Linked DNA regions of Coturnix japonica. The protein of the gene in region 1 interacts with the protein of each later gene in a pairwise test. Links are inferred from orthologs where the notes say so. Each region holds a gene or a part of one and is shown on either strand. Other genes may lie near its edges.

Region 1 (4,049 bases):
GGGAAGGATTTTGTGAATGCAAGAACGTGAAACAGAGAGGATGTGGGGACCAGGAGGGCACATGGGGCCAAGCTGTGACCCTACTCACCTGGTGCCCTTGGCAGGTGGGTTGGACACGCATCAACCTGGTGAAAAAGCTGCTGGAGAAGGCGAGTGGAGTGTCACTTGTGCTGAAGAAGGTGCCCCTCAGCCTGCCTGGCTGCCCCCTGCCCACCAGGCTGCAGGTGAGCATTCCCAGTGATCCCAGTGCCGGACTGGGCTGTGCTGGGAGACAGCCCTATGGGAGGTCATCCCAAAATGCGACAATGCAAGGTGAAGCACTGAGTCTCCATTCACAGGTGCCAGGTGCCCATCTGGATGGTGTGGATCTCCCCAAAAGCAGCAAGTGCCCGAGCAGCCCCTCGTCCCCTGCATCCAGGTGAGCCCCAACCTCGCGTCCCTTCGCCACAGTGCAGAGCCTTTGTGCGAGCAGCCCAGGCAGCTGCCAGGAGTCTTAAGCAACAATATAAACAAAGAGAAGTGCCTCTGTTTGTAATTAATTCACTTGGTAACATTTTAATGGGGAGGGAACTATATTTAGAAATGACCCTTCTCCTCGCCCGGAATGGAAAGAAGCACATCGAGCCGTTGGCTCCGTGGGCTGAGCTCACTGCTGCCGGGAGCTTTTCCGGGCGGGAGCAGTACTGGGAGCCCCACAGCCGGGCAGGGGGCACTGTGTGGCTCAGGGGACCCTTCTCCCCCAGCACCACTGCCGACGTGGACTCAGGGCCGGACCCCACCGCTGACAAGGACAAGCACAGCACAAGCCAGAACAGGGAGGACGTGGGTGAGCTCCAGCCAGCAGCACTCAGCCTCGGTATGGAGTAGGCTGAGGGGAAGGATTCATTTCTCCCCCAAGGACAGGACGCTGCAGCCTTGCTCACTGTTTACAGGTACTGGGGAGGACGCAGTGCAGGAGGCCAGCACCCCACCAGGCACCCCAAGCTCACTGTGTGCCTTCCAACCCTGCACTGCAGAGTGCAGCCCCACAGCAGCCCCCAGGGCACAAAGTGCAGAGCCCAGCCAGACCCCCAGGGAGGTGAGAACTGGTGGGAGCATGGAGCTTTGCGGGGTATTCATGGGGGACACGAGGATCGTGTTTAGGGGCAGCTTGCTGCTGAAGGGTGGGCGAGGTGGGGGTCCCACGAGGCTGTGGGTGCTGCATTGCTTCACATTGCATCTGTCCCCATCCAGGGCAGCCCTGAGACGGGACGCAGACCCAAAGGTGAGTGGGACGCCACTGTCCCCAGGCTGGGGTGAGGTGGGCTGGGGGCTCGTCCCCCTGCCCCGCTCCTGAAGCCCCCCAAAATGCTGCAGGAGTGGCGACCAGGCTGAGCCGCCGGCGGGTCTCATGCCGGGACCTGGGCCGAGTGGATTGCGATGGCTGGCTCCTGAAGAAGAAGGACCATGTGGGCTTCATGGCCCAGAAGTGGAAGCGCTGCTGGTTTGTGTTGAAGGGCCACACGCTCTACTGGTACAACCACCCCAACGTAAGTGAAGATGCCCTCGCACCCTGCCACCAGGCTCTGCTCCAAGGCGGGCAGTGGACGTGGCTGTGTGTCCCCCACAGGATGACAAGGCTGCAGGTCTCATCAATGTGGCCACTTACAACCTGGAGAGCACAAGGGAGCAGAAGAAGAAATAGTGAGTGGGCACTGTGGTGCTGGCAGGGACCCTGCAGAGCAGCGGGTGCTGTGACATGGGGGAGGCAGGACACGGACTCAGGACAGCTTGTGTTCCTTGCAGTGTCTTCCAGCTCTCCCATGATAAGTACAAGCCCTTTGTCTTTGCTGCAGAAACGCTGGCAGATTTGAGCATGTGAGTGATGTAGCAGCCTGTAGTGGTCCTGCTGCAGTGGGCTGGCTGTGACCCTCTGTCTGTCTGGCCTTTTTTCCCTAGGTGGGTCAGCCACCTGATTACAGCTAAGACAAAGCATGCACTGGCCCACCAGCCTGTCCCGCACAGGGAGGAAGGTAACATGGAGGAAGGAGATGGGGAACGGTTGGGAGAATTGGGAATTTTGCCCATGATATGGGGAAAGTGTGAGAAATGGACAGGAGGTGCATGGGGGGGGTGCTGCTGGGACTGCCCCAGGATCTCTGCTTCCATCCTCCCCCATGGCCTCCAGATTGCTACAGCGAGACAGAAGCTGAGGACCCTGATGACGAATCTCCCCGGCACGGCTGTGAATTGGTGAGTGGCCCTAAGGGACATCCCAGGGTGGGAAGGCAGTTCCTTATCTCATCTCCATCCCATCTCTCATCCAGCCAAATAAAAGGCTGCAGAATGCTCCAGAGAAAGGCCAGCTCTTCCAGACTGGTGGTGAATCCAGCAGCCCACAGAGCAGCCCTCAGCCCCATTCACCTGCAGGTAGGTGCTGGTAGGCACGAGGGACTCTGTGTCCTGTGCTAAGAGGAGCACGTCGCCTGTCATCCTGGGTGCATCCTTTAACCAAATTCACAGCTGCCCTCTTTTGAAGCACAGAGGCTAATCCTTGTCTTTGCAGCACTAAGGGGCTGCGTTTCAGTGTTTCTGCCCATGTTGATCTCTGGCCCAAACTCCCCTTTGTATGTGGGTTGTAGGTGGGGGTGTCCCAGTGGGGTTTCAGGGTTGCCTGATGTCATGGCATCCATCTCCATGCTCAGAGCCTGGCGAGGAGGACCTTGAGAGCCTGATGTGGTGCCTGAGGCAGGGCGGGGTGTCCCTCATCGGACGGCAGCGCTTCCTGACGCAGGAGCAGTGCCGCAAGTCCTTCATCCGGCGCAACAAGAACCCCTGCATCAACGAGAAGGTGCACGCGGTGCGGGCCCTGCAGAGCACGCTCAAGGTGGGAACCCACGGCCCTTTCCCAGCCCCTCCTCCTGCCCCAAAACACCCCTGTAATGTGTTCTTCCTCTCTGCAGGCGAAGCTGGCGGAGCTGCAGGCCATCGAGCAGCTGCTGGATGATGCCGCGCTGACCTCTGAGAAATTCCAGCGCTGGAAAGAAGAGCACCAGGACCTGTACCAGGAGCTGCAGGAGTGGTGGGCACAGCAGCAGGGCCAGGACAGCAGCGGGGGACACGAGGCTGAGCAGAGATCCCCAGCAGAGGCAGCTGAGCCCTGACACCCCCCAGAGCCTCCCCAGGAGTCATTTCTCATTGAACTTACAGCAAAGCGGGTGCTCTGCCTGTCCTGGATCGGTGCGGGGGGGGGTTGGTGACACTGCAAAAGGCTCAGCCCCCACAGCGGCTTCTGCTGGATCACCCACAAGGGTGGGACACTGCAGGGACAGCCCTGCTTTTATCTGAGGATGCTTTACATTGAGGACAGGGCTTTGTCCTGGCGGTGTCTGCACCGTGCCTGCAGCCAGCAGCAATTCTGCTGCAAATAAACCGCTGACAGCTGTGCCACGTGCAATGTCCTGCTGTGACATCCAGCCCCACGTACCACCTGGGGAGCGGAGGAGCTGCCAGAGCCTTCCAGCACCGCCCAGCACCAGCACGGCAGGAGCACAAACAGAGCGGAGGGGGCAGGAGGGAGGTGTCGTGGTGGCCTGCAGCTCTCACAGGGGCAGCGAGGAGCTCTGCTCTCTCTGCTCTCTGCTCTCTCTGCTGACGGCCATAAGGCCCAGCAGAGCTTCCAACGCTCGAACCACCGCGGGACACCCGAGCGCGCTGCCGGCACTGCGCACGCGCAACAAAACAACATCCCCGCCCCGCGGCGGCGGCTGCCGGCACTGAACACCGCGGGGAGCCAGCTTTCCGTCCAGCCAATCGGCGCGAGCCGGGGATGGAACCGCTTCTTCCGATTGGCTGCGGGAGAGCGGTGGGGCGGGGCGTCCTGCTGGCTCCGCCCCCCGCCCGGAGTTGTAACGGTCGGGGCGCGCGGGCAGCGCGGGGCAGGTGAGCGGGTTGTACCACACGGTGCGGGTCTGTCACGGCGCGGTGCGCTCGGCTTCCTCCCCTACTGCTCCCCTCTTTGCGGGTCCCTTCCACCTTCTTTTCCCCCATCCTGGGCAGTTGCCCCCACC
Region 2 (2,915 bases), on another chromosome or scaffold:
TCACATATCCAAGAAGCAAAACTGCTTTGGCATCACGCTGGGTCACCCAGGCATCCATTGGCACAGCAGGAATGGCTCAGGGTCAACGAGACAGAAAAAAATGTACTGCTAGAAGAGCAGTAAAAACACTTTGTGTCCTCACTGTGCAATGAAGAATGTTCTGTGCGCTGCCAACAGGAAAGTGCTGTGACAATCTTCCATAAGTTAACAAGAAACCGTGCAGGGGCTCATGGCAGGAGGTAACTGACAGTAAGGTTATGTTCTTCAGGTACAAATAAGGATATCTACTCATTTTCAACTTCAGCTACTGAAGTAGAAGGAAAAATCTGTCTTCTAAGAATGCAATGAAAATACCCACATTTTCTGTATGTTCCAAGTTTGTTATCAAGCAAAGAAATGGATCAGTGCTGCCTGCTCACCTCCCTAGGGCTGGATCTTGCAGAAAGATTACGTTTTCCTGGTTTTTCTCCCTTAAAATCATGAAGTGCACGTGAAATTATGATTTCAGGGTGTTTTCACATGCAAAGCCTGAACCCTTGCAACTCACGCAAGCTCTGTCACCTTATTCCTTTAATCCTAATAGTGTTAAACTACAATATATATAAAACATAGGAAGGATGCAACTATATAAAAACAGATTAAGTCAGTCATTAACTCTCACTGCTTATTGTGTGAGCAGACTGTAAAGAGTTTTTGCCTTCTAGCAAATGCCAGACCACTCTGCGCAGTGTCATGGCTGCAGACAGGCCTGTGCTGCTGGGACCTGTCTGTGTTTCAGTGCATTCACTCCAACCCTTTGGCACTTGTGACTGCTGTAGCTGCCTGACACCAAGCTGCACTTCCAAAGAAGAAAAGCTGTTAATACAGAAGGTGGAGCACACGCTCTAAATGAAGGCTTCATTTACTGCAAGACACATAAGACTTGAAAACTGACACTGCAAGTCTCCTGCCTATGGAAATGTGCACGGCTGCCCTCTAGTCCAGTTTTTAGTGTTGCATTTAACTGAGAGAAAAGCACTTAAAACACTTTTCCATTTATGGGCAATGAGCTCAAGAAACAGGTATGGGATATTTTACTGTTCTTTCCTTCCCAGTCCAAGCCAACTGTAGTTACAACTAACACAAGTGGAAACAAAGCTTCCGTGTCTTCAATTGCATTAAGTTCCAAGAAAATTATCCTCTGGGATTTGAAGCTTACTTCAAATTACACACTAATAACTTCTCCAAAAGGTCTTGCTGAGATTTTATGTCATAGTAAAGTGTGTGTGTATATGTATATATATATATGCATTTATATATATATATAATTTTACAGTTACTGTCTTTAGTTTGCCCAACATTTACATTATCTCTCCATCGTAGCCCATGTAGAAGTCGATGCAGATACACACGCTACTGATCAAGTCCTATTTCTTGTTTGCAATTCTTCGTTTCCTTGTTGCCAGCATATCATAAAAGGGATCCCTGCTGATACTTGCTCTAGAAGAAACAACGTGAGTTGTCAGTTTGATGAACTGTTCTCTGCCTTTGAAAACTCAAACTATTTTGTTCTCACTTCCCTTTGGATGACTCCACACTTCTAATAAGTTAAAGATTGCTGACCTACAGTCACAGAATAGCTCACGTTGGAAGGGACCCACAAGGATCACTGACTGAGTCCAACTCTCAGTTCTACCTGGGACCACCTGAAATCCAAACCCTGTGTCTGGGAGTGGTGCCCAAGCACAGTGTGAGCTATGACAGCACGGAGCTGTGAGCAGCAGCCTGGTCAGCCCGGTCCATGCCCACCACCCTCTGGTGCAGCGCCTTCCCCTGACCCTCATCCAGCCCCCCCCCGACAGCTCCATGTCAATCACTGGGCCCTGTCACTGTGCCCGCACAGCAGAGCTCAGCGCTGCACTCTGCTCCCAGTGAAAAGAACTCTTCTGATCATCAAAAATATTGGTTTATAAGAGGATGTTTAGCTATGATTTGTTAGAGCTCACACTTCCATCTCAAACATAACTTGAACAAAATTCATTCCTTTAAGTTTGGGTCTACTACATAAACCTTACAAAGGAATTCACATTGTGAATGATGAACAAGCTCAAGATAGCTGTCACCAAACAAAATAAGAACGGACTAAAATTGGGATTAAGGATGGTTCTCCAAAGGCTTTGCATTTGCTTCTAATAATAAGTTAAAAAACAAACATTTTCCTCATTTGAGTCAGGACCTGCTATGGACCTCAGGACCACACAGCCCGACCATCTGCCCCAGAGACCTTGTCCTTAATCCCAGAGGATGCTGCCGAATCAGAGCTCTTCAAACAAGTTACAATGCAGAAAAGGAGCCTACACTTCATTTCTGACAGATATTTTATACTCAAAACTCACTTGATAGACTTAATCCACTCTTCTTTTTCTTCTGGGGTGGGAGCAGATATTCTGTACACTACATGGTTGCCTTCCACCACTCTGCCATCAGCTTCAGTTTTACAGGCTTTAATCACTTGGCCTTTGTGACTGGGGTTGTAGAGCTCAAAGCAGTTCTGGAAGGTAGGAAAAATAGGTTAAACACAAAGCAAAACAAACAGCTGAGAAACAAAATCATCTGCCACAATCCCAGTTCCAAAATGATTTACTAGTTCATTACAAAACGATAACAAGGAAATCTTACTGGCTTTCTTGGGTCTTCAACTTCTCTAATGCTTAGGTTTTCTAATGGAATAATCCCTCTAGGTTCTTTGTCCTAAAAAAGGGAAAGTACAGCGTTATTATTCCTTTCCATACCCAGATGACAAAGGAAGCTCACAGCAGCACATACTCACAGTTGTGTATTCAAAGTAATACAGGCAGTTATCAGTCAAAATAAACCACCTTCGTTTCCATGTTTTTACTCTTCCCCCTATAACCAAAAGATATTGATAAGTTCAA

Evidence for each region.
Region 2: the proteins of CNKSR1 (region 1) and CYTH3 interact in binary tests that used the Homo sapiens proteins (3 or more experiments, as listed by UniProt). The two-hybrid records come from large-scale screens. The link is inferred for Coturnix japonica from reciprocal best matches to the Homo sapiens genes CNKSR1 and CYTH3.

What each region holds. Positions count from the first base shown.
Region 1 is NC_029538.1:257,131-261,179, reverse strand, and holds the end of CNKSR1 (connector enhancer of kinase suppressor of ras 1), read left to right. Parts: intron 1-104; coding exon 105-224; intron 225-338; coding exon 339-418; intron 419-743; coding exon 744-856; intron 857-932; coding exon 933-1,078; intron 1,079-1,233; coding exon 1,234-1,264; intron 1,265-1,356; coding exon 1,357-1,529; intron 1,530-1,609; coding exon 1,610-1,683; intron 1,684-1,785; coding exon 1,786-1,857; intron 1,858-1,938; coding exon 1,939-2,012; intron 2,013-2,167; coding exon 2,168-2,232; intron 2,233-2,306; coding exon 2,307-2,409; intron 2,410-2,684; coding exon 2,685-2,866; intron 2,867-2,942; coding exon 2,943-3,143; 3' UTR 3,144-3,429; downstream 3,430-4,049. Other genes in the region: CEP85 (centrosomal protein of 85 kDa), read left to right, coding at 3,809-3,921. UniProt on the Homo sapiens protein: May function as an adapter protein or regulator of Ras signaling pathways.
Region 2 is NC_029529.1:8,526,560-8,529,474, reverse strand, and holds part of CYTH3 (cytohesin-3), read right to left. Parts: intron 2,887-2,915; coding exon 2,810-2,886; intron 2,731-2,809; coding exon 2,659-2,730; intron 2,531-2,658; coding exon 2,376-2,530; intron 1,480-2,375; coding exon 1,407-1,479; 3' UTR 1-1,406. UniProt on the Homo sapiens protein: Promotes guanine-nucleotide exchange on ARF1 and ARF6. Promotes the activation of ARF factors through replacement of GDP with GTP. Plays a role in the epithelial polarization.